3 linked regions of the Mus musculus genome follow. The protein of the gene in region 1 purifies or fractionates together with the protein of each later gene. This does not show direct contact. Links are inferred from orthologs where the notes say so. Each region holds a gene or a part of one and is shown in the gene's direction. Other genes may lie near its edges.

Region 1 (10,391 bases):
AATTTTAAAATACAGAGATTCTGGGCACCCTTCTGCTAGGTAACTCTGAATTTTTGAAACCCTTCACTTGTCTGCTTATTCAGACAAGGTCTCCATGTGTATGCTAAGAGGGCCTCAACCTCTCTATCCTCCAGCCCCAGCCTGCTGACTGTGCACTCTTGTGATAAACTTAATTGACCAAATAAATCAGCACACACTTCATTTGCTCCGTCCATCACTGTCAACTACTCTCTCCAGTACTTTACAATCATAAACAACAATCACAAAAACTCTAGTAGGTATCTTTTTTCATACGGTTTTCTGAGGATGACAAAGTTAGAATCTCTCCTTCTTAAAAAGAAAAAATAGTAAGCATGCCATCTGTGGTGTCACTGTTACTCTGAAAAAAAATAAAAAATTAAAAAAAAAAACCACATCCTACTGTAATCTGAGAATCACAGGGAACAGTGACATATACCCAAAGCTATGCTAGATATTTGAAAGGGTCCATTAAAAGACTCCTAATAACTGGTCTAGAGAAAAGGCTAGCCTGGGCCTTTGTGTCCCAGATCTTTGAGAATCACTTTTGTCTTTTATCATAATGACAGACACTAATGTTCCAAGTCTGAAGAATGCCTTCTAGACTGGATATAATAAGATAGACTATAAATTCCAATGCTCCAGAAGGCCAGGCAGGAATGTTGCACTTTCAAGCTCAGCCTAGACCACAAAGCAAGTGTCTGGGACACTGTCTTCAGTGAAAAAGAATCAATTTTTTAAAAGAGCAAACATTTTGAGACCAATGGGGTAAGATGCAATGAGCACAGGAAAGAAAGGAAGGGAGGGAGGGAGGGAGGGAGGGAGGGAGGGAGGGAGAGAGAGAGAGAGAGAGAGAGAGAGAGAGAGAGAGAGAGAGAGAGAGAGAGAGAGAGAAGAAAGAGAAGAAAGAAAGAAAGAAAGAAAGAAAGAAAGAAAGAAAGAAAGAAAGAAAGAAAGAGAGAGAGAAGAAGAAGAAGATAGGTGCCTTTTAGACATGTAAAACGTTTAACTAAGGAACCCCATGTAAAACGTTTAATTAAGGAACCCCAGTACACCCAAGGCAGCACCTGATAACCAGAACCCAGTTACATCACTCAAGACAACTAGACACAGTCCTAGAACCCCATGACACCCAGTGGACAGTGTATTAGTGGGCACCAAGAGCAATGCTCTGCTCTGCACAACTGAAGAGAAGCCACCTTCATCTGCCCTGCGGCTGGAGAGTAATCTGACACTCCAATCAAAAACTTCTGTTGGAGACTGGACCTGACCTTCAGCTAAGATAAGTCACACAGGAGGGTAGCCTTGGGGAGATAGGCTTAGGTAGTTAGGAATTTAGGGGGTGAACCTATGAAATGACCGTTTGCATAATAAAATGTAACTTTTGTTATACTAGCTACACTAACTACACGTCTCTACCTTCTTGCATCCGATAGCAAATAAACCTACTCTTTTTCTTTACTAATAGGAAAAAGACCTTTGAACGAGGTCATAAAAGTATTTAGTAGCAGAAACAGGACTAAATACCCCCGGCCACCAGTACAAAATATGACTAGTATTCTCGGGAGTAAATTCTAGATTACCCAGGGCAACACTGTAAGCCTCTTGCTTAAAAAAAAAAAAAAAGGAATCCCACAGTCGTTACCGCCGATATCCCCGGCCAACTTGTGCCCTCCCTCGTCCCCAATCTCCCTCGCGTCCTCTCTATGGCAGCTTGCTCTCGCTACATTTCATTAATCCTGACCCCCCAACACGACTACTCCAGTTACAGACACTTGCATACTGAACACCACAGCAGACCCGCAAAATCCGCTCCTCTCTCAACCACAGAGCCTGTGCCAGTGACGGACGCACACAGATGCCGTCGCGTCAATGACGTCAGAGAGGCGCCCGATCCGAAATCTGGTCGCCATCCCCTGACGCAGGGTGGAGCAAGTCCGTGCACTTTGTTAATTGTCTCTTGGGCTTATCGGATTTTTCCAGTGGAATTTTAAACAAAAAAGCAGCGTCCCGGCGGGAGAAAGCCGCTGAACAAAGCGAAGAAAGGAAAGGAATGAGTGAGGCCTGAAGGAGACATCGCCAGAGAGCTCCGGAAGCTGGCCGACAATGAAGGGTAAGTGGGATGAGGGACGCGGAGCGGGGCCGGGGTGGGAATATAGAACCTCGGAACTAGAAGTTGGCTTGGGAAATGAATCAGGGATACCTGTCTCAACAGAGTCCTAAGGCAACTTCCAGGGAATTACCTTAGTACACAAAAGAAATGGAGGCCCGGAGTCTGAATCCGCCGTCTCAGTCTCTTAGCTAGGAATAAATGTCAGGATCGAGTTTGTGTGCTCTCCTCAGGGGCCTCTCGGGGGAACTAGAAGAGATGGGTCCAAGTTCTTGACCGGACCTAGCTACTACCTTCCCGTATAACTTCTGTCAAGGACCTGCACCCCTCTGCCACCTGGTTTTCACCCTTGCCCCTGTAAAAAGCTGCTGAGGGGCAGTATCGTACACCTAAGGCTTTGGAATTTGAGCCGAAAAGAGCTGTGCCCAGAAGGGCAGCCAAGCACTGGGGCAGTACTAGAGGAGAGAGGTAAAGATATTGCCTCTGATTTGGTGATTCATGCCCTTTTTGTCTGAGAACAAGTTTCTTAGCGTGTCTCAGCTACCACTTTATTATGTGCATAACAAAGAAGAGCTACTGTTAAAAATTGCTTAGAAAGATTAATGACATTAAGATAATATATATGCACACTCACTCAACCAACCGCTTGACAAGCTGTGAGTGTCCCACACCTACTGCATGTTGCAGAAAGACTTTCAACTTTGATGCGAGGCATCTGGGGTAAATAAAACAAAGTTCTTCCTGGGATTCCAGCCCCTGCATGTTTATCACAATAAAGTTCAATCTTGATCCATTGTTCAAGAGAGAGCTAGATTCTGTATATAAAACTTGTGGTACCTTGGTTTGTTTGCTTGGGTCAAGCATATACTCAGGGAGACAGAGATGGATTGTTTGTTTGTTTGTTTGTTTCTTATTGTTGCTGTTGGGATAAAGTCAGCTATGTACTCCTGACTAGCCTGGAGCTCACCGTGTGAACCAGCTCGGCCTCTACCTCTCAAGTAATGGGATGGATCAACCATGTGTGCCGCCACACCCAGCTCAGAAGTGCAGTGTATAGGGTGTAGTGTGAACTGCACTTTCTGGTCATGGGCCCTTCCTTTTCCCATTTACTCCTGTAGTCTCTGCCCCAGTGCCACCATGATGATTGCCTCCAAACAAATAAGAAACAGGATTGTGGAGGTTTAAAGAGGTTTCATCATCATGAAGATAGTATGTAGAGTTTGGAAAAAGACTATTGTATTTTATCTGGTCAGGATACATTATAGATTTTAAAGTGTGAAAAATCTGTTTTAAGCCTCTCTTAGTAGTCAGCAAAATGTAGTGTTTCAACCATATACAGCCTACCCGTTAATATCTCCTCTCTTTTAGTGTCTAGACTTACTAGACTTACTGGGCCACTGCCCAAGTATAATTATACCTCCTGGGTGTTTAAAATCAGATCAACTCTAAATGTGACCCAGCGAGGAATTTTTTTGGACATGCTGAGTCTGGAGTAGGAACCAAAACCCTCCGTTTTAATAAGATCCCAGCGATTCTTTAAGCCTTGAGGAGTTCTTATTTTGTTTTGTTTTTTTTGTTTGTTTGTTTTGTTTTGTTTTTTGTTTTTTTCGAGACAGGGTTTTCTCTGTATAGCTCTGGCTGTCCTGGAACTCACTTTGTAGACCAGGCTGGCCTCGAACTCAGAAATCCTCCTGCCTCTGCCTCCCAAGTGCTGGGATTAAAGGTGTGCGCCACCACGCCCGGCTTGAGGAGTACTTTTTTAAAAAAACTACATCTTGGGAATTTCTAGGACAAAGTTGGCAAGAGGGAAGAGTAAGAAGTATCTATGGTGGTTCATGTGTATAATCCCAGCAACTAGCACCTGGGAGCCTAAAACAGGATGTGGGTTGGAAGCTAGCCTAGGATACAAAGCAAGACCTTATCTTAAAATGAAGGAGTAACACATAAGAGGGCTGGGGTCTGTATCCACAGTGAAGCACTTGCCTAGCATACATTACACTCCCCTGGCGTTAGTCCCCCAGCACTGCAGAGTAAAGCAAAAGGGATCAACCAAGAACGTTTTTCTTTTTTCTACTAACCCAGTCTTCCTTCTCTGAATAAGTGTACTTCTTAGCATAGTTAGAAAAGCCCCGGCTAGTATTCTCATTCCTAACAGGAATAATCATCTCTCCATATGTTTGTCTTTCCTCCCCCAGCTGCCATCTACCATGCCTTTTCTCATAAAGAAGCCAAGGACCACGATGTGCAGGTACAGTCTTCAGGGGTGGGCGGCCAGCAGTCGAGGTGATGGCAAAGCTGGCTCAGTATCTTCTAAGACTGGCTTAGCTGTCCTTTCCCATGGATTCCTCCTTGACTTTACACTCTGAATATCAGGCCCCATAGACATCTTTTGTGCTGATGTCTTCATGAGCCAGACTCTGTTCTTAGGGCACCAGAGTCAGCTCTGAGGGACTTGGACTCCTTGATTTCCCGTCATCTCCCACTCTGCAGGAAATGGCAGCCTGTGCCCACCTGAAGCCAGTCTTGCTCTTGCTTCTGTATCCTGGTCAGTGCTCAGCCCATTTCCTAAGTGGATGTTACAAGTTCTGTCTGGATGTTTCATGGTGCTTTGTCATTTGGGCAACAGCTTCACCTGTGGCTCCTAAAGAGAACATAGCCTTGAAGTCAAGATTTTAAAAGGCCAGTTAACCTTTAATTTTTAATTCCCAGTGAAAGAGAGACCACATGTATATTTAAAAGAACCAAACTGTCGTCATATCAATGATGGATTGTTTAGCCATCCCTACCTTCAAGTACCTTGAAGGTTGTGTATTCTGTATTTTCACTCCCTTGCTTTACCATAGAGAGGGTAGAAGTCAGCATTCATACGTTAACCTAAAGCTGGCAGTTAGCCCAGACTTGGCCTTACTGTGCAGTTAGTGCAAAAAAGAGCCCAGCCAATGGCCCGGGGAAGAGGTTGGTCCTCAGGTAACAGGGTTTCAGGTGATGAAGGCCAAGTGAGGTACCTGTTGCCCAGTGAGGAATAGACTGTTGCTGCCCTAACTCCAGAGGAAAAGCGATTAAAGAGGACTGTGAAGCTCACTGTCAGAATGCCCCCTCAAAGGACGTGACTTTCCTGGAAACCACAGGCAGTTTCCCCTAGTGCTAGACTGGCTCGTTTTCCTAAGAACCCCAGCTCCCTTCCCCTTTAAGCTGGCCTTGTAGTCATGACTGATTAACCTCTATCATCCATGTCTCAAACTTCCTTCCCCACAAGGATTAGAGAAGTACTAAATTACAAAAAGTTTTGAATCCTCAGTAGAGGATCCTCAAGAAGCAGGACAGGAAGTCATTGTTTGACCTGGCTGCAGTGTGGGACACTGTCACAATTAGTGTATGAGTGTTTCTTTTACATCTTGGCAGTTGTGCGTAGCAAACACTTGGCAAGAGATTTGTGAGCCTCAGTGGATAGAGAGATGGATCAGCAAAGATAGTGGCTTTCTGGAACAGGGTATGAGGGCCCTGGGGTCTGTGGGCACAAGAACCGTGAACAACACCACTATGTCTCCGAGCAGGAGCTGGGAAGCCAGCGGGCTGAGGCCTTTGTGCGGGCCTTCCTGAAGCAGAGCATACCTCACATGAGCCAAGAAGACTGTGAGAGCCATCTGCAGCGCAAGGCCGTGATCTTGGAATATTTCACTCGCCTAAAGCCAAGGCCAAGGCCAAAGAAGAAATCCAAAGGCCTCTCTGCCAAACAGAGGAGAGACATGCGGCTCTTTGACATTAAACCAGAGCAACAGAGGTATGCCCATCTTTCCTAATGGTCTTACCATCCAACCTTGCCTTGTCATCTTTGTCAGGGTTCAAGGACTGGGGGGGGGGGGGGCCTCACTGGACATCCCTACATACTCATGCTCAGGTACTTCTTGCCACAAGAGGGCAGCCTCCCCCTTCCAATTTCCTTGTGCCTGTGCTTGGCCTCTGAGGGGCAGGCATTGGTGAGACTGAGGGTTCTCATCACTTAGCTTCTGTCCTAGCCTCACTAATAATAAGTGAGTCTGTTTTCCATGGCAACAGGCTGTTTGCTTTCAGCTTTCTAGAAAAGAGGAACTGATATGCCTTAATGTGTACTTTCCTGTAGCTTTGAACATAACTAGACAGTATCACCCACTCAGAGGTTACTGCCAAGGAACGGTCCCACCTACTCATTTCAGACATTTCTGAAAGGAATACATCACTGTCTTGTGGGAGGATGTCTTTCTTGATATAGTTCTGAGTTTGTGTTTGCAGTTACTGTTTACTGGCTTTGTATAATGCACTTTAGCCACATATCTTTCTATGTCCCAGATGGCATGACAGTGTCACTTTGCCAAGGATCTGCCTCTCTGGGTTCCTTGAAGGAAGTGCTTGTTTCTGATTTGAGCCATTGTTCTTGACTGCCTAACCCTGTGCACCAAGACATATGATAATCACCCCAGAGGAAAGCTTCCGGGCTCTACTCTCGCCTTCTACACAGTCCTGTCACCTTACAGAAGGGATTGCTCCTCCCAAGGACTATTAAGTTTAACCTCCTGGAAGTGTGGGCTAAGAAGACTAATGTTCCTTTGCTCATTTGTCTTGGGAAAAGGAATGTGGATGAACAGCACCTGGGTCATTATGGCTGATGGTGCATCGCCACCTTCAGCTGGGGGTCTGAGCCAGGGGCTCCACCATCGTATGTCTGGCCAGGAGGGTGGGCATCTAGGTGAAGGACCACCTTTTTGAGAGCAGATATTTAGCCTTGAAGAGGTTCTACCAGGGAAGAAATTGAGTTCGAGTAGCAGGTTGGGGAGTTACTTGGCACTTTGGAGAGCCTTGGCCTCCCACACAGTCTCCGGTGCTCCCTTACGCTCATCCTCAGCCTGGAGCCCAGCTCTGTGTGCTGCGCGCTGTAAACGCCGAGCTCATGCTTCTGGCTTCTTTACAGATACAGCCTGTTCCTCCCTCTCCATGAACTCTGGAAACAGTACATCCGGGACCTGTGCAATGGGCTCAAGCCGGACACGTGAGTTTTAGTTCTGAAGCCGTGGAAGCCATGGGAGCAGATGCCAAGCCTGGAGAGCATTAGAGATGCTCTGAGAAACCAGCAGGCTGTGGGGTTGTGTTTGTGTTTGCAGTTACTGTTACTGGCTTGTTACCGACTCTTCTCTGTGGGCTCTTCACCTCCTAGGCAGCCACAGATGATTCAGGCCAAGCTCCTAAAGGCAGATCTTCATGGTGCTATTATTTCAGGTAATTTCTATGAATGCATATAGTCATCTGGAGATTGTTACTCAGTGTAAGTGAAGTGTGTGTCACAGCATTCAGCCTGTCATCTGTCACTTGGCATCCCTGAACTATCTCCAAGTCACAAGCAGTGAGGATCTGAGATAGTTGTGATCTAACCCATCCTGGTTCCTTGTTAAACACACACTAAGTGCTCTCTTGGTGCCATCTGCTCACACTGTTGGAATCGAGGCTCTAGCCGATTCTCTTGGGCCCAGATTCCCTCCCATCATGGTTTCCAAGGGGTCACCGCCAGTGCAGACTTTTCCCACGACTCCTTCACCCCATGACACCCAAAGCTGCCTGGATGGACATCCAAGAGCTACCTCAGATTAGCTATCCAACACCAAGCCGTTGGTCCCCTGAGGTCAGCTGTCTCTGATCTGCTTGCCTCATCTCCTAGAATAGCACAGCTTGTCCAGGCTAGAAACTAGGAAGTACATACAAATTACCTCTTTCCCCAATCCTCTACCTCAAGGACATTAACACACCTAGCTCCCAAATCTGACCCACTCCCTCAAGGTGCTGCGACTACTTTCTCTGGCCTCCCCACACCCTGCCCAGGTCACATACTGTTTTATTCCCACATACACTACAAGGTTAAATACCCAGAATGAAGGCTGCAGTCAGACTTCAGACTGCTGTTTACGTTACCCGTTCTAGGCCTCTAGCAGCTTCGGTGTCCTTTGGCCACTTTGTAGCTTGCACACCAGTTGTCTTTGCTTGAGTCCTTCATTCAACCAAGGGGTTCTGCATATGCATGTACCTCGGTCCCCTTTCCTGATGTCACTTCTGAGAGTCTACTAGCACTAAAGTTTCTTCTTCCACCCCCATTCTGTTCTTATTTTCCTTGTAGCCATTATCAGTATCAAGAATTAGAATTGCCCGTGTTTTACTATACATTGTCCTCTACCACAGCTTCAGCTCCACAGGAGCAGAATACAAACCATCTCATTCAGTGTCCTGCCCCAGCACCCTCCTAGCTCACTGGGCACATAGTTTCTTCTGTGAATGCTGACTACACGGAAGCGGAAAGGGGCCTGCCTATGAGGTGGCTCATGCCATTGCTAGGCAACTCTATAGAAGGACTACATTCCAGACAAAGTTCAGGAGACCCAAAAGTAAATGATAGATGCCCTGCCCATGGTGTTTGCTCCAACAGCAGTACACTGGACTTGTTGGTTCTGTGTATTACCTCTCGGCTCCAGAACCCTGCCCAAAACTAAAGGACACCCAAGAATAGCCAAGAGATCATGAAGCACAGGACAAGGGGCTAGGAAGCCTGGGCTCTTGCTAGCTGGGTCACTGCCCAAGAGCCACTATCTTCTGAGCACTTTCTTCCTCAGCTTAGAAAAGCCCATCTTCCTGTCTCTGAGGCTTGGCAATGACTGCCAGCACCACCCAGTCCTTACAGTCAGTTGCCTTTCTCCTTTGCAGTCACGAAATCCAAGTGCCCCTCCTATGTGGGAGTTACAGGAATCCTTCTGCAGGAGACCAAACATGTCTTTAAGATCATCACCAGAGAAGACCACCTAAAAGGTGAGTGCTGTGTCCCCAGGGTATCAGATGCCACTATATCTCCCTTCCAGGTTTGCTTTCCTGTGGAGTCAAACAGGTTGCAAGTGCTTACTATGATGTGAGTGAGGTCGCTGCCTATGTGGCTCTCCCAGGAGACATCTATGAACACAGCCTGCAGCCTGTCCATGAACAGGACAGAAGAACTGCTTGGTTGTTTCTTGGATCTCTACCTACCAAAGTCACCACCTCTCAAATGAGTAACTAAAAGAAAGGCAGGAGAAACCAAAGCAACCTATACCTGGAGTTCTGAGAACTGCACCCTAGTTCTCTTGAGTTTTAGCAAGTTCCAGCAGGTACTCTGGATCTTTTGGGGTCTCTGTACCTGACCTTACCCACATATCCAGAGATTCAAACAACAGATGGAGGGTTTGTACTCATTCCTTTATCTGTTGATTCTGGAAATTAAACCCAGGACCTCTGTCTACTAATCCTGCGCTCTGCCCCTGGCTTACCCCCAGAGCCCTGCTTCATTGTTTTTCCATGATGTTCTGCTTGCACTGTAAGTCTAAGGAAGTGGTATAGAAGTTTCCTCATGAGCACACATCTAAGAACCTGTGCAAAATTGTATGGAAAACCCTACCTGGTGGTGGGCCTGGGAGCCTTCGGTCGTGGGAGTTGAGTCATTCACCCCAGAACCTGTAATTAGGCATTGAGTTACATTTAGACTGAGTCAAATGGCCCATGTCTCCCTTGGTATTTCTGGCTTGATCTCCTCATTCCTATAGACTTTTTTTAGACATTCTCACTATCTAGCCTTGGCTAGCTTGGAACGTGCTATGTAGACCAGGCTGCCCTTGAACTCAGAAATCTGCCTGCTGCCTGGCTTTGTCTCCTAGGTGCTCGTATTAAAGTGTGTGCCACCACACCTGTCCAACTCACTTGAATACAAGTATGTATGAATAATGCTCCACACAAAAATGAATGCACTCCCCATGTTGCTTCTCATCCTTTTTTCCCCCTCTTTTTTTTTTCCCTTCAGTCATCCCCAAGCTGAATTGTGTGTTCACCATAGAAATTGATGACTTCATTTCCTACATTTATGGAAGCAAATTCCAGCTTCGGGCAAGTGAGCGGTCTGCCAAGAAGTTCAAAGCAAAGGGATCAATTGACCTGTGAACTCTGCCACTGGAGACAGATGTCCCTGACACTGAAGAACTGGAAACTCCCTAAATACTCACTTTTTCTTGAAGAGCCTCTGGCTGTAGCCCGTCTGTAGTCCAGGGAAAACAGAGGGGCTGAAGAGCATCGAACAACTCGGGAGAAAGCTAGGGGTAAATATTTGTACTGTTAGGTGACCTTAAGTTAGCTTTAGTTCCACAGGGAGGAAAGACTAGCAGAAACACACCAGGATTAACCTTGGGTCATCTGAAGAAGGGGGCATTTAGGCTCTGCCTTTCCTACT
Region 2 (10,893 bases), on another chromosome or scaffold:
GGTGTAGCGGTGTTAACTATAGCACTGTATGTGCTGAAGTTCTTCAGAGTTGTTCCTTAACCCAGAGAGAATACACATAACACCTGTCACCTGACCTCAGGGATGGCCGATAGCGTCTCTCGGGAATTCGAGACATGGTGTTGGTTTTGTGCTTACATGACTATACACAAATGTTCTGAACCTTACCAGGCGCCTTTTCTCCTTACTGATCTGATCTATGGAAGGGTGGCACTGCTACCCACTGTTGCCTGGGGTGGCCCGAGTGCTCAAGACACCTCCCATTCATATTGCTGCCCTGGACACAGATGTGGCTATAGACACTCCAATGGCACAGACTCGAAGCCTGTGCTTTGACTTGGTATCTCGTTACTAAAGTCCATTCCCAGTTAAGTGACTTTTAAATGTTGGACTGATTGTAGACATGCAGGAAAGGCCATAATGAAGTGGATATTTTGGACAATTACTATACACTAATTAAAAAACTAAAAATAATCGTTATTAACAGTATGTTTGTAGACTCCACAAAACCACAATAGCATACAATGCTGGGCAAAGCTCAGAATTCCATGCAAGCAAGAAGAATCTAGTGTTCAATTCTTGAACATTTTGTTGACAGACTGTATTGTCAGCTCTAATGCTACGATTTCTGACTCAGACTCTTAAGCTAATGTTATATTGTTGTATCCTTTAAATCCAGCAGTTCAAGAATTAAGACAAAAAGAATACTTTCATAAACCTTCTAAGTTATTAAAATATTTTGAGATATTTATAAAATTAACTATGATCATAAATGGTACATTTATAAACTGTTTATTCACAAACATAACTTATTTACAATGTAAAATAAAAGCTATCATTGAAAAGTAAATTGACCATTTAGTGTATATATAGACTACCAAATGCATAGTAATTTAGGGAACTATGGGAAGCATATATTTGTTAAAAAAAAAAACCTGAACATAAACTGATTAAACATAATCATAAACATAAATTGATGTAAATAAAAATAAAATAAATAAATAAATAATAAAATAAAAATAATAAAATAAAAATAATAAAATAAAAATTAAAAACTGAATTGATGTAAAATAAGAGCTATAATTGAAAAGTAAATTGACCATTTGGTTTGGTGTGTGTGTGTATATATATATATATATATATATATATATATACATACATATACACATATACTACTTAGGAAACTACAGGAAGCATATGTTTGCAGAAAAAAATATGAACATAAACTAAAGTTGTGCTACACAAATGGAAAGAAATTACCTTTGAGATATATTCTTTTGGGTAAAATCCTTGTGGAAAGATTGCTAAATTCTCAAATAGAAAACAAGGCCCAAAATAGTAGCGGCTATATATAATTTGTATTAACTTAATTCTGCCACAGCTGTCACTGGGTCATAGTGGTTCCATTTGTCAGACATGTACCATGTGGCAGGCACTGTGGTAAGCATCTTACACAGAATATTCTTCTAATCCTCAGAATAGGCACTATTTTTATCATTTCATAGTTGGCTAATTAACTTGCCTGAGGTGTAGGGACACTAGTTAGTGGGAAGGCTAGGGTGTCAACATAGCAGCCTGGCGGCAGAGGCTTGTAATGTAAGAGCTGGAACTTTGGTGGGACAACACTCATAGCCATTACCTTTTTACTTCTTTATCTTGCCCCTCTTTCTGCCTTTTTTTATTTTTATTTATTTATTTATTTATTTATTTATTTATTTTTCTGTTATGGTGTGTGCAAGTTCTGGCCCCGAAGGCCCAGTCTGCAGCCTCCTGTCTCAGTCTTCCACGAGCCAGGATTTTATGTGAACCTTTAGTATTTCAATTCTACCATCGCGATTTGTCTTTAGCGCTACATGACTGCGGGTAATAGTAAAGGACGTCTTATATGGCACAGTCAAAACTCGACCGAACTTAATCTAGTTCATCTACTTGTGATAGAAACCACAGCACGCTTTTCCTGTAAAAACTTCAACAATCTTTGACCACAAGCAACAGTGTTTGTTCTGTTTAAATGTTCAATAGGTGGTGAATAATGGAAACGTAGAAGCTAGATCCTATATGTTAGTCTAAAATGAGCAATGAAAACACCGAGAAAAAAGAGGAAGATAAAGAGAAGGACCTGAATCCTCCCAAATTCATAAGAACAGAAAGTAATTCCTGTCAAGTAATTTTTATTTATTTATTTATTTATTTATTTATTTATTTATTTAATGTATGTGAGTACATTGTTGCTGTCTTCAGACACACCAGAAGAGGGCATTGGATCCCATTACAGATGGTTGTGAGCTGGGACTTGAACTCAGGACCTCTGAAAGAGCAGTCAGTGCTCTTACCCGCTGAGCCATCTCTCCTGCCTTTTTTTTTTGTTTGTTTTGTTTTGTTTTTTGTTTTTTTGAGACAGGGTTTCTCTGTATAGTCCTGGATGTCCTGGAACTCACTTTGTAGACCAGGCTGGCCTCGAACTCAGAAATCCGCCTGCCTCCCGAGTACTGGGATTAAAGGCGTGCGTAATTTTTAATCTTTAGTACATTATTCCACTGCTTACCAGTTGTAACTTTCCAGTGATTTTGTTTCATAACCTTTCTTATTTTTTGTCTCCGTTTGTCAGAAGGCACAACAGCTATTGCCGGAGTACTCTGGAGTACTGCTGTGGAACTAAATGCAGCCCCTATTTTCCTTTCAGTGTGCCCAAGATTCTACACATAATCTCTAAGTACATGCAACCCTATAACCCCTATTTATTTGATTTTCGTGGCAGAACACGAGCTCCGCCTACCTGCCTCTGCATTACGTCACTCCCAGTCAGGGGCGTCAGGCGTGGTGTGTGGACTAAACCTGGCACAGCACTGCGCAGGCGTGTATTCTGTCTCGCGAGAGTCTGTGGTTGCTGTAGTAACCAGCCTCTCCCAGGGACGCGTGCAGGGGAATGGGTGGCTATAAGGGCTGGAGTTTTGTATCCCCAGAACAAAAAGAGACAGCAAGGCAGAAGCAACTGGGCTAAAAATGGAGAGCCAAAAGGAGAGACGAACCTCTCACAGAACCGAGCTGTTCCGCATCGTCATTTTGGACGACCAGTCAGAAGGGAGAGGCTGGTTACTACAGCAACCACAGACTCTCGCGAGACAGAATACACGCCTGCGCAGTGCTGTGCCAGGTTTAGTCCACACACCACGCCTGACGTCCCTGACTGGGAGTGACGTAATGCAGAGGCAGGTAGGCGGAGCTCGTGTTCTGCGCACGCTCAGTGCAGGCGCACGTGGAGCGGGCGCAGTGGTTCCTGGTAGTGACCGAGTTGCTGTAGTGAAGCGATCCGTCACGTGGTCTCCGCGGGGCGCTTCTGCTCAGGTGGGCGCGTGCGTGCCTGTGGCTCGAGTCCCGGCCCGTGGGCACCCGGGTCACCGCGGGGTGGGGGTCATCCAGAGCCCGCTCTCCCTGAGGTTCTTTCCGGCTGGTCTCAGCCGATCCCTGCCTTCGGGGGTTTCCTTCCGTCGTGTTGTGTGATGCGGGTACCCCTTCGTCCTCCCGAGACCGCGGGAGCTTCTCTGCTGCTGACAGCCTTTCTAGGGTCTCTTCCCAAATCAAGGTCTCTGTGACGCGATTCTAATCGCGCCGCCCTTCTTGAAAGGCTCTAGAGTCACCATCTTGTCCTTACCCAGTATCTTCAACTCCAGCATCTCTGTTCGGGCGATACTGAACTTTAATGTTCTTCTGTAATCCCTCACTGCCCGCTTCCTTCTTGGGCTATCTAAAGAATTCCTTCAAAGGAGGAATATTTTAGATTGCGGTTGGTTAATGGTCGTTTTCTCCAGAGACTTCAACTAAGGCCTGTTCCTCAAGATAACCTCACTACTCTGGCTTTAGAGTGAGCCGTTTTTATTACTCGCAGAAGCTTTTTGCTTTGCCCAATGCCTAATGGCCTGCAACAGCAAGGATAATTCATAATAATTTGATAGAAAAAAATGTATGTAAGTGCTCTACCAGGCACAGTGTACGTTGAATAAGGACATGAGAAACCAGAGGCCTCATTAAATAGCCAGAATCTGTAATATGGGTGATGAGTGAAAGGAGAAATGCTTGAGAAATGGGAGTAAACATTTTGAGTTTGTAATTGGTCCTGTAGGCAGTAGCAGCTTGCAGACATAGTTGGCAAGGTACTTGATCAAGCTCTGTGAACCTGTTAATATTCAGCATTTTAAAAATTAGTATTGCATGGCGGTCATCTTATGTAGGCTTGGTTCTTTTTTTCATCTCCCCTTCCAGGTTTTTGTGAATCAGAGACATACATCCCAATCTTGCAATCCCTTGGTTGCAGAGCATCTGTGAGTGTCCCCCATGCTAGGCAGGGACAGTAGCTGACTTGCAGTTTGGCAAGCGTTGTGGTGGGACCATTTGTCCCTTGCTTCCTGGTCATTTTACTCAAAGCTAGCTACCAGCTGCTGGTCACCTCGATAGATTTGGACGACCTGTTCTTGAATCTCTTAGCTTGTGAGGAGCATGCAGCTCATGGGGATTGATGGAAGCAGTTATTATGGAAGCAGCTATAGCCAGTGTCTGTAGCAGTGGGCAGCACTGACAGAATCAAGATTGCAGCTCTTACTGGGAGTGAGTGCAACACCATCTCCAAAGGCCGTGCAGTCTGGAGATGCCACCTGCCTCACATCAACATCTCCAAATGTTGGGCAGCTTTTTACCAGCACCTGTGGCACAGTTGACTCCCAGAAATTCCAGCTCAGTAAGCTCTAGGGTGAGTCAGCCATCTGATGGTTCTTAAAAACCACAGGTTATTTCTAAGATAGATCCATGATTAAAAGAAGTCTTTAGAAAAACTAGCTGTGAGTTGTACAGTGAGTCTGCTTCCTAATCCATGCCAGGGAACTCTGTAAGTTTGTTAGGAACAAGATGCGTGGAGAAAGTGCCCTGAATTAGAGGAACCTTAAGCAGGGGGGACTTATTTGAAGTTTGTCAACTGGGTCTTCATAGTTCTCAGATGAACTCTAAGAAGGAGACAACTGAGAGCAGAGGTATACAGTTGCCTTTGGGAAGGATAAACAGGGTTTAAATGAATGAATGCCCGACAAGAGAGCAGTTAACGTCCTAACTTGTCTGTAAGGTTAATTATTATAGGAAGAACAAATAACAGTGTTTTGTTTCGGATTTGCTTTTGGAAGGAGCGCAGCCCATTTACTTCTCCCTAATGGATTAATCTCTGAATTTCATATTTTTTTTATTTTTCATGAAATTGCCCGCCAAAGCAGTCATCTTATAATCATGTGAGAGGGAAAATATGGGCCTGCATGTTTCAAATGTTTTAGGGACTTGGGAATCATGAGAGGAGGGAGACTTAAAGTTTTAGCCATGGACAGATTACTACGGTTTTGCTTCTTAAAATCTGACCTGGTTCATTATGAACTTCAGAGACTACAGAAGGTTAAGCTCTGTGTGGGCAGACACAGGGGCTTCAGAGCCCACCAGCATCTGTGTCTGGAACACCATCTGCCCACTGCAGTAACTCAGTAAGTATGCTTATAAATGAATGAATGAGGGGTTGGCAAGATGTTTCAGAGGGAAGAGGCATTTACTACCAAGCCTGTGACTTGAGTTCATTCCCTTGAGACTCACATGGAGAAAACCATTTTAATAGAGCTGTCCTCTGACCACATGTGCTATGACCCCAAACCTAATAAATGTCTTTAACATTTTTAAAATAAATGAGTGGAATTCCAATTAGAGTTTGGAAGATGCTCACAAATCTGTAAGATTAACACCAGTCACTCTCACATTGCCTGTTGAGCATCATGAAAAAATAGGGAGAATTAAGTCTTCCTTGTGCCACAGAAATTCTCTGACTGGTTATCTAGTTGGGCCCATATAATTAGACTTGCTGTAGCATATCAGCCTGGAATAAAAAACAAAACAACAGAGACTGGAGACTATAACCAAAATGTTCTCAAGACATGCATTGCTGACAGGAGTTTCATCATTTTGTTTCTTTCCAAAGGGTTTTCAAGATGGCTGCAGCCCCTCAGGCACCAAAGAGGGGATCTATTCGGAAGACTAGACCTCTGGTTGTAAAAACATCACTAAACAACCCTTATGTTATTTCCTGGAGCACCTTGGAGAGAGAAGACATACACTTTATATTACAGACTCTCGAAGCCAAGTTTAAATTGATTGGACTTCAGAAAATTGAAGATAAGAAGAAAAGGAAAAAAACAGCTCTTATGAAAAAGCAAAGTTGCCGGCCAGATATTGAGATTAGCGAGGATCCAAAAGAGCCTGATGGGGATGTGCTGGTGTCAGGGTGGACACCTGTACACGTCAGGAAACAGCTGGTCATTGGTGTTAATGAAGTCACCAGAGCTCTGGAGAGGAATGAACTGCTCCTGGTTCTAGTGTGTAAGTCAGTCAAGCCTGCCATCATCACCTCACACCTGATTCAGCTGAGTCTAAGCAGAACTGTTCCTGCCTGTCAGGTACCTCAGCTCAGCGAGAGAATTGCTCCTGTCATTGGCTTAAAATGTGTGCTAGCCTTGGGTTTCAGAAAGAACACCAGGGACTTTGCTGATGAAGTAGAAGCCATCATTCCCAGGGTGCCCAGCTTAAACGTGCCATGGCTTCCAGACAGAACCCAAGGTCCCACAGACAGTTTAGAGACTGAACCCTCGGAAAGCCAGGACAACGAGATTTTGGACACGTCATTTGATGACCTTACAAAACTTAGTAAGAGGAAGCTTGCTGAAGGTGGACAAGCTTCAGCTGCAACATTACAACCCCTTAAAATAAAAAAGCTCATTCCCAACCCTAGTAAGATAAGAAAACCACCCAAAAGTAAAAAGTCCATTTCCAAGTAGTTTTGTATGACTTGTCACTATGTCTAATGTCTAAATGAGCACTGAAAGAAATAAAATCAAAACTTACATATATTCTTAGGATCCTGCATGGAGGTGCTTTTCTCTTTGGGTGGGGCAGATGAAGTACAGAAAACACTCAAAACAATGATTAACAAAACCAAAGTTTATTAAGACTAATGTCCATGCGCATATAAATTCACTGCTTTAAAGGCTGGTACAATGCTTGCTTGCAAGAACATCAGTTTCCTACAGCACTTAACATTTCTCTACCGAACTTGGAAAATGGGCCACAGACATGGTCTAGCAAGGTGGGTGAAGCAACTGAAGAAAGTCCTCAGTTGCAACGGAGAGAGAGAGAGACACTAAATGTTAAGCAGTACACTGCCTTCAGAGCGGCATGTCATTTTTACTTTGTGGTAATTTGGCTTTCTTTGTAGGTAAGCATCAAGGCAGGCTTGGGAGAAAGGCTTAATTGATACAGAACAAAAGCCTGATAAGGTTGTTTCATAAGAATTCTCTCCCTGCGCATCATCAGTTTCCTTGTAATATATAACATCTATCAAGAGTACATTAGGGGCAGAGCTCTATGGCAGAATATGTGCTTACCAGCACATACTATCCCTGGCTTGATCCCCAGCACCAAAAACAAACAAAAATCAAAGCTAACAACTCTAAAAACAAAACCTAAGCCAGAACTTATTACAGCAGTACTTAGCTGACATGTGGCACGAGGACAGACAAGACAGTGATGGGTCTTTCTGGCTGGGAGTGGAGCTGTCAGGACTTTACTAATCCACTCTGTCTGGAAGTCATTGTGGAATTTAGGAGGTGAGTGGGATAGCAAAACTTTTTCATCCCAAGTTTTGGATGAACTTATGGACTGTACCACTTTGTTCCACTTGCTGACAAATTTCCTGTTTCTGAAGGGAAGAAACCTTACAGCACAATATGGATACAGAGAGCATAGGGCAGTGTAACTTGAGATTGTTGCTTTTACATTTGGTTTTAACAGTTATTTTATATCCAAGCAGTTGCTCTGGCTACTAATTCTCTAAAATACCAACTGCTCATGTGCTTAACTTATGAAGACATCACCGTTAACTATTAGTGTATTTAAAGTTCTATAACAACTGCAATGTGCAATAAACAAATCTCTAAAGGAATGGTTTTAACAGTTTCCTCATGAGGTAAATAATAAATAAGCCCATGACAAAATTCTAACCTGAAAATTCAATTTGTATAAGACATAAAAATGAGTGCAATAATTGCCAAAGAGCTGTAGATCCAGATTGACTGACTCACTCACCTACTGCTTGACTTTCCACACAGTGCTGTAATGAATAGGTAGTTTCATTTCCTGAAGGTGTTCTGTTAGAAATGTGACAGTTGGACATGTATAATGAGAAATCTGTCCTGTGTCCAGCACTGGTCCCACTTCTGCACCACTTGTGGGGCCCAGGTGCCCCCTCTCGTGGTAATATCAGGAATGGCACAATTTGTGGCCTATTTAGGACCTGTCCACAAGAGGCCAGAGAGCAAACATTTTAACTTTGCAGGCAATACATACAGTCCAGTCTGTCACAACTACTTGATTTCCCTTTGTAGCATGAGACAACCATAGTTAGGACATAATGAAGATATGTCTGTATTCTGATAAAATGTTTGGATTTCCTAAGATTTGCATGCTACAAAACGTCAATTCTTTGGACTATTTCCCCCAACGATTTAAAAAAAAAAAAAAAAAAAAAAAAAAGACCATTCTCAGTTTGTGAGCTGTATAGAACAGCCAACAGGTGAGACAGCCTACAGTCACATTTGGTGACTCCTTTCTAGTAGGGAAGGAAATGCCATGTTGTCTGGACTGGAGCGGAGGCACTGTAGTAAAGGCAGGAAGTATCTACTTTGTGGCATCTGACTTAAAGGCCCAGTCTATACAATGGCCTTGTTTAGTATTTTATTTTCCCTTGGATTAGTGGCAGCATATACACATATATGTACACTGTGAAACTTGGTTTTCAAATTCTAGGTAAAAACAACATCAGTAACAAAATTATGAATACTTATTATTTACAAGTAAGACATTTTCCATTAGCATGACAATTTTCATGATAAATTAAAGTCAGCATAAAGGAACATGTGCAATTTTGCATAATAAAAACATTCAGACCATCTGTGTGCTGACTCCACTCCTCTGGGCATTTAATCTGACCTTAGAGCTGTGACTTCCTTTCCCTCACACATCCTTCACATTGCTGAGGAATGAGATTGCACAGCAGCCGCAAGGTCTCATCAGTCAGCTGTGTACTCTCTAGTGAGCACACTGAACAACTGCCCCAAACTCTGCCTTTGAAACAATCCACTAGCCTGCTGAAGAGCAGAAGACAAACCTGTAATGTACTGATTTGGCTACTATGCTTATGGGACAGACCTGTGTATTTGCTTATGGAATAATAAATGTGCTAAGTCACTGGTACATTTTCATATTGCTCCTTAAGTATCTACCACATGTCAATTCTATAAACATTCCAGTGGCATCATGTAAGGTGATACACATATGGATCCTTGTTCTGTTTTACAAGTATATCACCATTTAATAAACAGAAAAGCAGCAGTGACTCTCCTAACAGCAAAGGTTTTCTTAACATGATGCTGCCATTTCTGTTTGGATCACAGAGACAGTCCCACTTTTCTCTTTGCAGTGAGAGCTCTATGGACACCTTTAATCCCTCCCACATTAGTCAACAGCGGAGACTGGCTCCCAACACCCTAACTAGAAATGTATACAGTTGGCCATCTATTCTGATTGTTAACAACTACTTCAATTTCACTCAACTTGTGCTTTTATTCTTCTTTGGAATGACATTTCCAGGCATCACTAAATAGAATATTAACAAATGAGAATGTTGCCTTCTAGAAATAACATCTTCATCTACTGTAGAACAAGTCCAACCTAAAGAAAGAAAAATGGGACAGTAAGACCAAACTGAGGAGAAAATCGAATTATAACACTGGGCAGTCTATCGACTGGGGTTTTAAAAAGTCTCTCTGAGGTCTGGAGAGATGACTCAGCAGGAAATAGCACAGGCTGCTCTTCCAGAGGACTGAGGTTCGGTTCCCAGCACCCACATGGCAGCTCACAACTGTCTGTAACTCCTGTTCCAGGGGCTCCAACTCCCTCACACATGCAGGCAAAACACCAATGTACATACAATAAAAATAAGTAATTACAAAAAAAGTCCCCTTGACCTTCCAAGCTGGCTAAGAGGGCAAAGGCATCGGCCACACAAGGCTGATGACCTGAGTTCAGTCCTTGGAGTCCTGGGAGAAGAATACTTGACTACTCAAAGCTGTCCTCTGACCTCCGTATATGCTGTGGCATGTGTATACCCATCCCTCTATCTCTCCTCCCATCCCCATACACACATAATAAAAGTAAAGAAATAAAAAGCTGCCTTCATCCTATGGGGTCTGTATGGGGCTGTCTGGGTTAATTGAGTCCATTTACAATTCCTCTCTCCCTCTGACCCTCTCTCACACAGGAATTACCAACAGTAGAAACAGATAAAGCCCCTTTATCCTGACAGCAGTCAGCATGAATTGCTGTATCATGCTCACTCACCTTTTCAGAGTCTGTCCCTGGACACCTCCAGTTGTACAAATAATACTGTAAGTTGCCATCTCCTATACCAAACTTTAGTTTTTCCAAGAAGGTCTTATTTTCCATCAAATCTAGTGCATTGAACACATCAAATCCTTTCTGCCAATACAAAATTTAAAAGTTTATCACACCAAGGGCTTAATGTGTTCTTTGTAGTATATATTCTGTATAACATTCAATTCCTCTACAGTAATTTAAGTAGGTACTTATAATAAGGCTAAGTACCTATGATACAAAGCCACTGACTAAGCACCATCTTAGAAGACTGTATTATAAAGACAGTTGGGGAGGGAGCTGGAGACCTTTCTGTAAGTTGGTTCACTTAAGGAAATCCAAGTAGTAAAAAAAGCGGCTCAACACTCACCA
Region 3 (10,265 bases), on another chromosome or scaffold:
TGCCGGTCCTCTGGCCTTCTCTCCAGAATTACAGGCATGAACTACCACAGGTGGTTCTCAACCCATACCTTTCCTGGGTGGCTCAAGTCATTTAAGTCTTGGGGGATGGGGGGGCGGGAGCCAAGCAATGGCTCCATGGGTAAAGGGCTTGCCAGCAAGCCTGTTGATCTGTAAGAGTTCGATCCACATAGCAGGAAGAGAGAGTCAAATCCTGCACACGCATTTACACATGGAAGAAGAGCTTCAGGAGGTATGGACAGCATATTCTGGTGATTGCAGCCATCGATCTGGAGGCTAACAGGAGGATTTTGAGTTTCAGGCCAGTGAGGACTTCAAAAATAAGACCTTTTCTTAAAATAAATATTCATTTTCTTCTTTTTTTTTTCTGAAGATAGGGTTTCACTGGTTAGCCCTGGCTAGCCCTGGCTGGCCAGTCAAGCTGGCTTGAACTCACAGAGATCTACCTGCCTCTGCTTCAATAGGTTAAGTGTCTCCTTTCCTTCCTGCTCCAGGGGGCTGCTGGTAAGAGCCTTTGCAGAGCACAGGCCGGTTCTCTGTAAACTGCTGCATCTAAGGCTCTCCCCACCTCTGTCTCTCTCGACGTCAAACACACCCCAGCTTTGTTTCCTCTCATCAATCTTTACTCTTTTTTTTTTTTCTTTAAATCTGATGACTCACGTAGCCTAGGAGAGGTATGTTGCTATGCTGCTAAGGAAGACCTTGAACTTCTGATCCTCTCACCTCTCACCCCTCCTTTTGCAATCTTAAATTTTTATTTTAATCACAACATAAGAAAAGAAATAACAGCTACTGTGTCCCAGGAACTCAGGGGCACAGTGAGCAGGTTACTATAATTACCCTCCTTTTACAGGTGACAAACCAGGGCACAAGGGTTAAGTCAATTGTCCAAGGTCACAAGAAGCAGAAAGAGGCTAATGAAGCCTGGACTGCCGGGTCAGTACCTCAATTACACAGGCTCCTCCAAGACTTTACGCTTACTTAATTTCCTATCCGTATTCTGTTATCCTTGCCTTTAAAGAGAGCAACAAAATCTGAATGTGGCTACAGAGGTAACAGATGCCAGTGTGCCGTTTTCTTGTAAGTATTTAAAAATACATTTACATATGCAAACGTATCCGCAGGGTTTGGCGGGCAACCAGCTTTTTCAGCATACGTCCTGGTTGCCTTTCTAACCGTGATGTTGTGTGCAGCAAAGATAGTACCTTTGTTTACCCACTTTCCCCACGTTGGACCTTCTTCCTCCTCCCGCTGTCCTCTGTCCCCTTTTGGAAGGTTCCTACCTATCTCGCACGATTCCTCCTCTGGCCTTCTTCCCATCCTGGTATCGCTTCTCATATACCCTTCCTCTTCATCCTCCTCACTTAATCTCCTTCCTTCCAGCCTCCCGCCTTTCTCCCCTCTCTGACACCACGGCTTCTTCACGGTCCAACCGGTTTCTTCGGCTCACCGCCTCTCTGCCAGTTCTGGGCTTTCAGGCTGCCAGCATCGAGCTGTCCCCACATCCTTTTCCCCCATCACCTCCCCACTTGCACAGCCGGCAGGCGATGGAGAGAGCTGACAGCGTAATGAATGGCTTCAGCTGTAATTAGCGACCCCGCGGCTAATCACGATGTGCATTTACATTTTAAGTGCTGCTGAGGGAGCTGGAAAGGAAGCGATGCGCGGGCGGGGAACCGGGCCTTTTCTGCGTTCTCCCTCCACAGGAAAATAAAGTGAATGGGAGAGTCTCTGGCAGAGGGTAGTGGTACTGGGAGAGGGTGGCGGTGTCCTTGAGGGCCAACTTGGGTAGAGGCACAACCATTCACTCTTTTCAGAACAAACCTGCTGCCCCCAGATCTTCCAAATTGTAGTGTACGGCCTACATGATTTCCAAGTTGTTTAACCCAGGCTTGCATACTCCAGGGAACGCAGAGCTCTCTTCTTTTCCAACCAGCACATTCCTACATAGCTTCTAGTCTTTCTGGAACTTTTTCTCAGATCAATCCAAAACTGCCGACTTTAAGTCCACCACTTGCCTGAGTGCACTCAGTCGTGGGGTCTCCCCAAGGTTGGGACTCCAGAGCCTGCTTCTCCCTGTGAAATCTACAAGAATTAAGATTAGATCCAGGGCAGAGTCCCAGTTCGGGGCACACTCCTGGAGTGTGAGCAGGAGATTGGAGCCAGTCACTCACACTTGAGGTAAAAATAAAAAATAAAAAGTCCAGCTGCTGCAGCCACACTCCAAGAAGAGATGAGATATAAGCTCGTTGTTCTGAGCTGAGGGGCTGAGAATTGTCACAGATAGCAAAGAGGAAGAGGAGGGCCGGGCAGCTCTCCCCCTAGACTGATGCTGTGCTCATCCAAACACCATCTTGCTGATACTTTGAGAACACCGTTCCTTACAGTCCTCAGTGCGTCTTCCTTCCCGGTGCTTCCCACGTCTGTCTGATTCCCTCCCTGCCTTTCCATGGAAACGGGATTGAATATTGAGGGCGTGGCCCCAGGCCAGGGTCACTCCTTATTAAACAGTCTTGCTTTGATCAGACCTCATCTTTCTACTGCCCACCTCACCTCGCAGCAGAGCCCGAGCCTCTGCTCAGATTCAGTGGAGTTCCCAGAGTTTGCAAGTACCCGCCCCCACACACACACATTCCGCCAAGGCACTCCACCCTGCCTCCCACCTCTTAAAACCTGTCTTCTCTCAGTCTCCTTTTAACAAAAACAACCCTCTGGATTTCTAGAGGCCAAGGCTGACTGGCAAGGAATTCCACCTGGAATTGGAAGTCAGGAATCCGGCGTTAGCTCGGGCTGAGCCACGCTCATAAACATGTATGCAGCTCCAGTAAAGGACTTTCAGGCATGAATATAAGAATTTAACGCCTTGGAAGAAATGGTCTCCTGTTCCCCATTCACTTTAGGCTGGCCCAACGCATCACTTCCTGCATTTCAGAGGTGCATAGGTGCCGGGAGCCTGGAGGTATGATCAGGAGGAGCAAAGCTTAGTGTCTCTCTAAGCAGCTACGCAAGGACCAGGCCACGACGTAGCGGTCCCAGCCCAGGGAAGGCGCTGCGTGCAGCCGCAGCCAACGCCTCCCACTCTCTGCTGACCATGCACTGGCTGCCCTTGACGCAAAAATATAGTAAGAGAACGGGAGGGAGGTCCCTGGAGGGGTGGAGTAGCGAAGCCCCAAAAGGTGGTTTGGAGATCTCTTACCTAGGAGGGGTCTAGGGATGCCCTTGCGCTGGAACCCCGCAGGGCTCAGGGACCAGGCTTGAGTCGGCATTTGAACCTTAAGCATAGTATTTATTTAGGTTGTTCCTGCATAAGGTCTGGTTCAGGGAGAACAGATGGTGACTTCGGAGAACTTCACCTCCCAAATCACCCGTGGCTCTGTGACCCCAGCCGCTGAGCTCCAGCGCTGGATCCCAAAGGCTGGAGGGACTGGGACAAGTCACGCAGAGTTGGGGCGGGTCCTGGGCGAAGGGGCGGGTCCTATCTGGCTCCCAGGCGGAGCTTCTGCTAAAGGCGCGGAGCACAAGGTGCCGAGGGCGCAGAGTAGAACATCACTACCCTGTAGAAGTCTGGGCTGAAGACTGCACGTTCCCAGCCCACCCTCCAACCTTCACTCGGCGCCGGCACCCCAATCCCTGCCAGCTCTCGCCCGGCACGACCCGCGGCCATGCAGCCCCGGGCTTGAGGCGGCCCCATGGCAAAACCTGCGATCCCAGCGACGACGGCGCATGGAGAACTTCCGTAAGGTGCGCTCGGAGGAGGCGCCGGCGGGGGACGGTGATGAGGGTGGCAGCCCGAACTCTGGCCCTTTTGCAGATCTGGCACCCGGTGCTGTACACATGCGGGTCAAGGAGGGCAGCAAGATCCGCAACCTACTGGCCTTCGCCACCGCCAGCATGGCGCAGCCAGCCACGCGCGCCATCGTCTTCAGTGGCTGCGGCCGGGCCACCACCAAGACCGTCACGTGCGCCGAGATTCTCAAGCGCCGCCTGGCGGGCTTACACCAGGTCACGCGGCTGCGCTACCGGAGCGTGCGCGAGGTGTGGCAGAGCCTCCCGCCTGGGCCCACACCGGGTCAGACGCCCAGCGATCCGGCCGCCAGTCTCAGTGTACTTAAGAATGTACCGAGCCTCGCCATCCTACTTTCAAAGGACGCACTGGATCCACGACAACTTGGCTACCAGCCTCCGAACCTCAGTCCTGGTCCTTCGTCCCCTCCTACGGTGTCGACGTCCAAGAGGAGCCTGGGGGAATCTGCTGCTGAAGAAGGCACCGCTAAGCGGTCTCAGCCTGAGCCAGAGGCTGAGAATGAGGACAGGACCGCCTGAGAATTCTCGCCTCTGAGCCACCCAGACCGACTGAATCATATATCTTCAACACTCCTGCATACCTTTCAACACACGCACCTTTCATACCTGGGTTTTAAGGGGCCCATGTTCCTGGACACCGGTCCTCAGAATGACAGCGCGGATCCCAAGGCGACAGGAGAGAGCTCAGGAATGAGAAGAGAGGATCCTTGAAGTCCAAGGAAACTTTGTGGGACATGTTACCAGAAGCCACAGAACACCACCCACACCTTTGCTAGGCCGTCTTTTTTAGGGAAGCATGGTGGGTAGTGGGACTCTTGAGCTTTCTTGGGGACCCAGACGTTAAAAGCACCCAGTATGCATGGATGCTGACAGTTGAGGCTTTAAAAATCATCTTTGCTGTTAACTGAGAGCGGGAGCTACGGAGCTGATTACTTGAGGATGGCCAAGTTGAAAATGTCCGGACCCTATTCTGCACCCCCACACACACACACACCCTAGCAATTCCCTTTTAGCATCCCTCCCCCACCCGCCTTGCATGATGGCTGAGAGGGGACTTAGGACAAAATCTGCCATGCTTCCTCCCCGAGTCCTGCTGGAGTCTTGCTTCCAATAAAACAAACGTGAAAATGGCTCTGTCTTCAGTTTTGTTCTTTTTTTCTTTTTCCTTACCCACTCGCCTGTGCAGAGACCACTTTGGCATGCTTGCCTTCAACCCTATTAGCCTTTGGAGTCTTCAAGGTCAGACACAGAGACTGGGGCAGTGTCAAAATGTTGAAAGAGGGACTTGTGGTGGAGGGGGCCGGGGTCTGTGTCACTGTTGTATCACCACAAGGGAAAGGAAGCAGTTTTGCTACTTCTCTGGGAGGGGAAGGAGGGGGGAGCATTGATGAGCTGGAGGCGGCAGCCTGCCAAGGCCGGCAGACCATGCTAAGGTTCTAACCTTGCTCGCTCCTCGCAGTAGACATTCTTACCCAGAGGCAGGCACAAAGCCCCAAGAGTAGGAGCTCCCCTTCACTGCCCTCTCTCTGCAAAAGGACAGCACACCCTTGGGAGAGGGGGAGGAGAGAGACAGCACAAATCCACTGCTGGAAATTACTATTCAGCAGAGAAGCTTGGGCTGTGAATCACTGCGGGCTCCCTGATAAGCCGCTGCCTCCAGCCCTGCACAGCTGTGTGTGGAGAGATAACAGCCTCAGATGCCTCTCAGCCCAAGTCCAAGCCTGGAGGGGGCGGGGGTGTGCTGTGTGCTGGGGAGCTGTGCAGCGTACAGCTCAGAATCTTCAGAGCAGATGCTACCCCATGGAACCCAGCACCTCTGGAAAGGAGATGGGAGAGAATAAATTTGTAAGTCACTTTGCCTGTAGAACCTTGAAATAAATCCTACTGGCGAGGACGTGGGTTTCTGCAGCTGATGGAGGGCGCCTTGGGGAAGCCTCTTCTCTCTTCCCAGTATCTCTGCTTGTGTTTTGGATCACTGACTCTTGTCATCCAGACTGTCGATCATTGCCTTTCACCTCCCACCCCACCTTCCTGACTTAATTATTTATTTTTAGGAGAGGTCTTGCCATGTAGTGCAGGCTGGACAAGAACTGATCCTCCTGCCCTAGCCTCCCAAATGCTGCGATTACAGGTGTGTAATTTGTCCAGCTCTATTTCTTGTTCTTGAGGAATCCCTAGGGAGAGCCAGGGGATCTAGATGTGTTTGTTGGCCTGATGTGGAGTAAGATGCATGGAAGACTGAAGTTACTGAAGATGTAACTCGGCTGGGAGAGCATTTGCCCAGCATGTATAAAGTCTGTTTTTTGACTCCCAGCACCATGTAAATTTGTCATGGTGGTGCACCCCTGTACTACCTGAATCTAGAGGTGGAAACAGGAATACAAAAAATTAAAGATCAGGCTGGAGGGATGGCGGTTAAGAGCACTGACTGCTCTTTGTAAGGTCCTGAGTTCAAATCCCAGCAACCACATGGTGGCTCACAACCATCTGCAATGGGCTCTGATGCCCTCTTCTGGTGTGTCTGAAGATAGCTACAGTGTACTTACATATAACTAAAATAAATCTAAAAAAAAAAAAAAAAGATCATCCTTGGCTACACATGGAGGAGTGTACAAAGTGTCACCACTGGCCAGCCTGGACAAAGTGTCTTAGGAAACAGTAAACTATCCAGACAACTAAGGTACCCTGGACTACTGGGCTTCTGAAACTAAAGGGAAGATAAGATTTAGAAGTCATGCTGAGCGGTGGTGGCGCACACCTTTAATCCCAGCACTCAGGAGGCAGAGGCAGGCGGATTTCTGAGTTTGAGGCCAACCTGGTCTACAGAGTGAGTTCCAGGACAGCCAGGGCTATACAGAGAAACCCTGTCTTGAAAAAAAAAAAAAGATTTAGAAGTCATGAACGCTAGAGACTTGTCTAGATGACTGCCCTGATTCTAGGACTATGCAAGCAGAGCCTGCTTTGGTATCTCGGGAAGGCAAGGCTATGGAGGCTCCTTTGATGGGCCAGGCAAGTCTCCTTTCAGCCTAGAAATATGTCCTAGGGTGGGGAAAAAGGATATGCCTCCTGTAGCTTCAATGCTAACCTTCTCTCTTGAGAGACAACAAGCCACACATGGCTTTCTTTACTGTATCCCCACCTGTGATGGTTTGTATATCCTTGGACCAGGGAGCGGCACCATCTGAAGGTGTGGCCTTGTTGGAATAGGTGTGACCTGGTTGGAATGGGTGTGTCACTATGGGTGTGGGTATAAGATCCTCACCCTAGTTGCCTGGAAGTCAGTCTTCCACTAGAAGCCTTTGGATGAAGACGTAGAATTCTCAACTCTGCCTGTGCCATGACAGCCTGGATGCTGCCATGCTCCCACCTTGATGATAATGGACTGAACCTCTGAACCTGTAAGCCACCCCCAATTAAATGTTGTTTTTTATAAGACTTGCCTTGGTCATGGTGTCTGTTCACAGCAGTAAAACCCTAACTAAGACAGAAGTTGGTACCAGAAATGGGGTATTGCTGTGATAGGCCTGACCATGCTTTTATTTGAAAGAATGTGGATTTTTGGACTTTGGATTTGGAACTCAGTGGAATGCTTTAAATGGGGCTTGATGGGTCATCCTAGTAGGAATATGGAAGACTTTGTTGCTGGGAGTAATTTGAACTGTGTTGACCTGGCCCAAGAGATTTCAAAGGAGAAGAATTTCAGTATGTGGCATAAAGACTATTTTTGTGGTATTTTGGTGAAGAATGTGGCTACTTTTTACCCTTGTCTGAAAAGTCTGCCTGAGGCTAAGGCGAAGAAACTTGCATTAATTGCATTGACAAAGGAAGTTTCAAAAAAGCCCAGCAAAGACTTTGTTCCCTGGTTAAGTCTCACAAAGAGAAGTTTGAACAAGTATAGCAAGCTTAGAAAGGCAAAATATAAAATATATGGTTCGAGTATTAAAGGCATACAAGGAAGTGAAATGGAGCAAAATCCTGTGTTCTAGGAAATAACAGATTAAGTGAGTGGGACCTTGGGGCAAGATCCTACCCAGCTGAATTTAGATCCAGGCATGGTGGTACACACCTTTAATCCCATGCTGATCTCTACATTCAAGGTCAATCTACAGAGCAAGAACCAGGATAGCCAAGCTTAGGCAGTGAAGGATTTAGAAAACATAAGCTAGTGATAATGTAATAGTACAAGGGGATCATGTTCTAGTTCCTGTAAGCAGCAGAACTTGGGGAAGCTTCAGCCATGTGGCTCTGGCTCTAGAATTAAGAATGGAAGGAACTACTGGGACAATTGATGCTGGTTAGCTGAAGCTAAGACATTAGCAATGATTAAGAAGAGACCAGCATCACTGAGTTGAAATCTGGGAGTTGTTTTCTGGGAGCACAAAGAAGCTGTGTTCCAGAGATAGCCAAGGTTGTACCTCGTGCTGCAGCTGGACTTGGTAATGTGTAAGAGTCACCCAGGTGGTACTGGTTTTGAAGGCATGAAGGTGTCATGAAGAACAGCTGAGGCTTGGCACTTTGAGAAGTCATGGAAGGCCATTGGAGAAGGTGTAGCCTCAGCTGTAGTTGATGGCCCAGAACTGAAGGGGTCAGGCAAAGGATTTGATGTTTGGCACCATGAAGAGAGCCTATGAGAGGCTATTGGTGAAGCCTGGTTGGAGTGGAACACCCCAGTGTATTGGAGATGTCAGTACCATGGGATGATCACCAAGAACAGCAGCTGTAGTGGAGTGGATCAAACTGAGCTAGTTTCAACTCTAGTGCTACAGAGGGCAGAGATGGAGAAGTGATGCCAGCCCTTAGGAGGAATCCAAAAGATCAAGTGGAATCCCAGACACTGAAATAAGAAGCTGTAACATTGAAATTGCCTTGGAGACTCAAAGATGATAAAGATGCCAGAGCCATGAAATACATGCTGAGGAAAGCTGCTAACAGGGAGTGGAACCAGCCCTGGAGAAAGCAGTTTGTTGCAGTCAACAAAGATGAAAAAGGAGTGGATATCTGAAGACCGCTTTGACCGCCATGGAGATGCAGAGTTTGGAGTTTGCCCAGCTGGTTTCCTGCCTTGCTTTGGGAGTTACAGTTAATTAAGTTGAATGAATCTCAGAAGAGACCTTGAACTTTGGACTTTTAACATTGTTTCGACTACTATAGACTATGAGGACTTTGAAAGTTGGACTAAATGCATTTTGAATTATGCTATGTTTAAGTATGGCCCCCATAGACTCATGTTTTTGAACAAGTCTATGGGGACCAGGGAGTGGAATGTGATGGTTTGTATATCCTTGGACCAGGGAGTGGCACCATCTGAAGGTGTGGCCTTGTTGGAATGGGTGTGTCACTGTGGGTGTGGGTATAAGATCCTCACCCTAGTTGCCTGGAAGTCAGTCTTCCACTAGAAGCCTTTGGATGAAGACGTAGAACTCTCAACTTTGCCTGTGTCATGCCTGCCTGGATGCTGCCATGTTCCCACCTTGATGATAATGGGCTGAACCTCTGAACCTGTAAGCCAGCCCCAATTAAATGTTGTTTTTTATAAAACTTTCCTTGGTCATGATGTCTGTTCACAGCAGTAAAACCCTAACTAAGACACCACCCAAGCCAACAGGTTTGCTGCCCAGGCTTTTCATGAGTGCGTTAACTTACAGTAGACTCACATTCATGAGGACTCCATCTCTGCCTTACTGATCCTCTGGCCCCGCTGTCCCTTGAGCAGTGTCTAACGGACGGGCACATGTCCCTCCTGTATCTCCTCCCTCCCCATCTCAGAGGCTGAAGTGGGAACTTGAGGAAGTCCTAACTGAAGGAGAGGGTGTGGATGGAACACCCTCAGAGGAGGGAGTCTCTCTTGTGAGTCTCCATCTTTTCGGTATTAGCCTGTTTTATAAACTTGCCCTGGTGGGTGGGAAGAAGCACTACTCACCCCACACAGGGTACCAGCAACGACCAGAGATGACTGCGCCCAAGCCTACCGTGGAGAACCAACGAGTTTATTGGTTTAACTTACAGAGCATGATTGAGTGGTTACTTAGAGGATTGTGGGTGACCCTAAGCAGGCACACACCACTCAAAAGTTTCACCCCAGCATGGACGATAGCTTCCCCGTAGCTGCACACGTGGCATGCGCCCCCTCCTGTTAACCTACAGTCTATATACTCTAGCACCTGCTGAGACCACGAGACCACACGCAACTGTGAGGGGAACTGCATACCTGGAAGGGAGGTACAAGGGGTCTCAAGGGAGGGACTGTCAACAAGCCTAATCTGACATCACTAATATGTAGCTGCTTCTGATGATGCTTGCAGTTATCCTTAGAGATGGTGTCCCCACAGCCTGGTGCTTGCCTCTACCCCAGTGACACTCAGGTCACAAAACCAAAAGGCATTGTCAGATGGGCTGTGGCTGGCAATCAGGCTTTTATCCACTCAACTCAATGTCATTGTTGT

What was found.
Region 2: the proteins of Pop4 (region 1) and Rpp38 purify together in Homo sapiens (affinity purification with mass spectrometry; 4 studies listed by BioGRID and IntAct, counting the BioPlex papers as one, with this or other methods). This does not show direct contact. The link is inferred for Mus musculus from reciprocal best matches to the Homo sapiens genes POP4 and RPP38.
Region 3: the proteins of Pop4 (region 1) and Rpp25 purify together in Homo sapiens (affinity purification with mass spectrometry; 3 studies listed by BioGRID and IntAct, counting the BioPlex papers as one, with this or other methods). This does not show direct contact. The link is inferred for Mus musculus from reciprocal best matches to the Homo sapiens genes POP4 and RPP25.

The regions. Positions count from the first base shown.
Region 1 is NC_000073.6:38,262,887-38,273,277, reverse strand, and holds the start of Pop4 (ribonuclease P protein subunit p29), read left to right. Parts: upstream 1-1,929; 5' UTR 1,930-2,124; coding exon 2,125-2,131; intron 2,132-4,323; coding exon 4,324-4,376; intron 4,377-4,618; exon of another isoform or gene 4,619-4,807; intron 4,808-5,682; coding exon 5,683-5,909; intron 5,910-7,073; coding exon 7,074-7,151; intron 7,152-7,316; coding exon 7,317-7,378; intron 7,379-8,848; coding exon 8,849-8,950; intron 8,951-9,968; coding exon 9,969-10,105; 3' UTR 10,106-10,391. UniProt on the Homo sapiens protein: Component of ribonuclease P, a ribonucleoprotein complex that generates mature tRNA molecules by cleaving their 5'-ends.
Region 2 is NC_000068.7:3,324,997-3,335,889, reverse strand, and holds Rpp38 (ribonuclease P protein subunit p38), read left to right. Parts: upstream 1-3,261; 5' UTR 3,262-3,363; intron 3,364-3,391; exon of another isoform or gene 3,392-4,660; coding exon of another isoform or gene 4,661-4,762; intron 4,763-5,433; coding exon of another isoform or gene 5,434-5,531; intron 5,532-6,016; coding exon of another isoform or gene 6,017-6,026; coding exon 6,027-6,869; 3' UTR 6,870-6,941; downstream 6,942-10,893. Other genes in the region: Nmt2 (glycylpeptide N-tetradecanoyltransferase 2), read right to left, coding at 9,799-9,819, 10,489-10,626, 10,892-10,893. UniProt on the Homo sapiens protein: Component of ribonuclease P, a ribonucleoprotein complex that generates mature tRNA molecules by cleaving their 5'-ends. Also a component of the MRP ribonuclease complex, which cleaves pre-rRNA sequences.
Region 3 is NC_000075.6:57,500,496-57,510,760, forward strand, and holds Rpp25 (ribonuclease P protein subunit p25), read left to right. Parts: upstream 1-3,606; 5' UTR 3,607-3,741; coding exon 3,742-4,341; 3' UTR 4,342-4,952; downstream 4,953-10,265. UniProt on the Homo sapiens protein: Component of ribonuclease P, a ribonucleoprotein complex that generates mature tRNA molecules by cleaving their 5'-ends. Also a component of the MRP ribonuclease complex, which cleaves pre-rRNA sequences.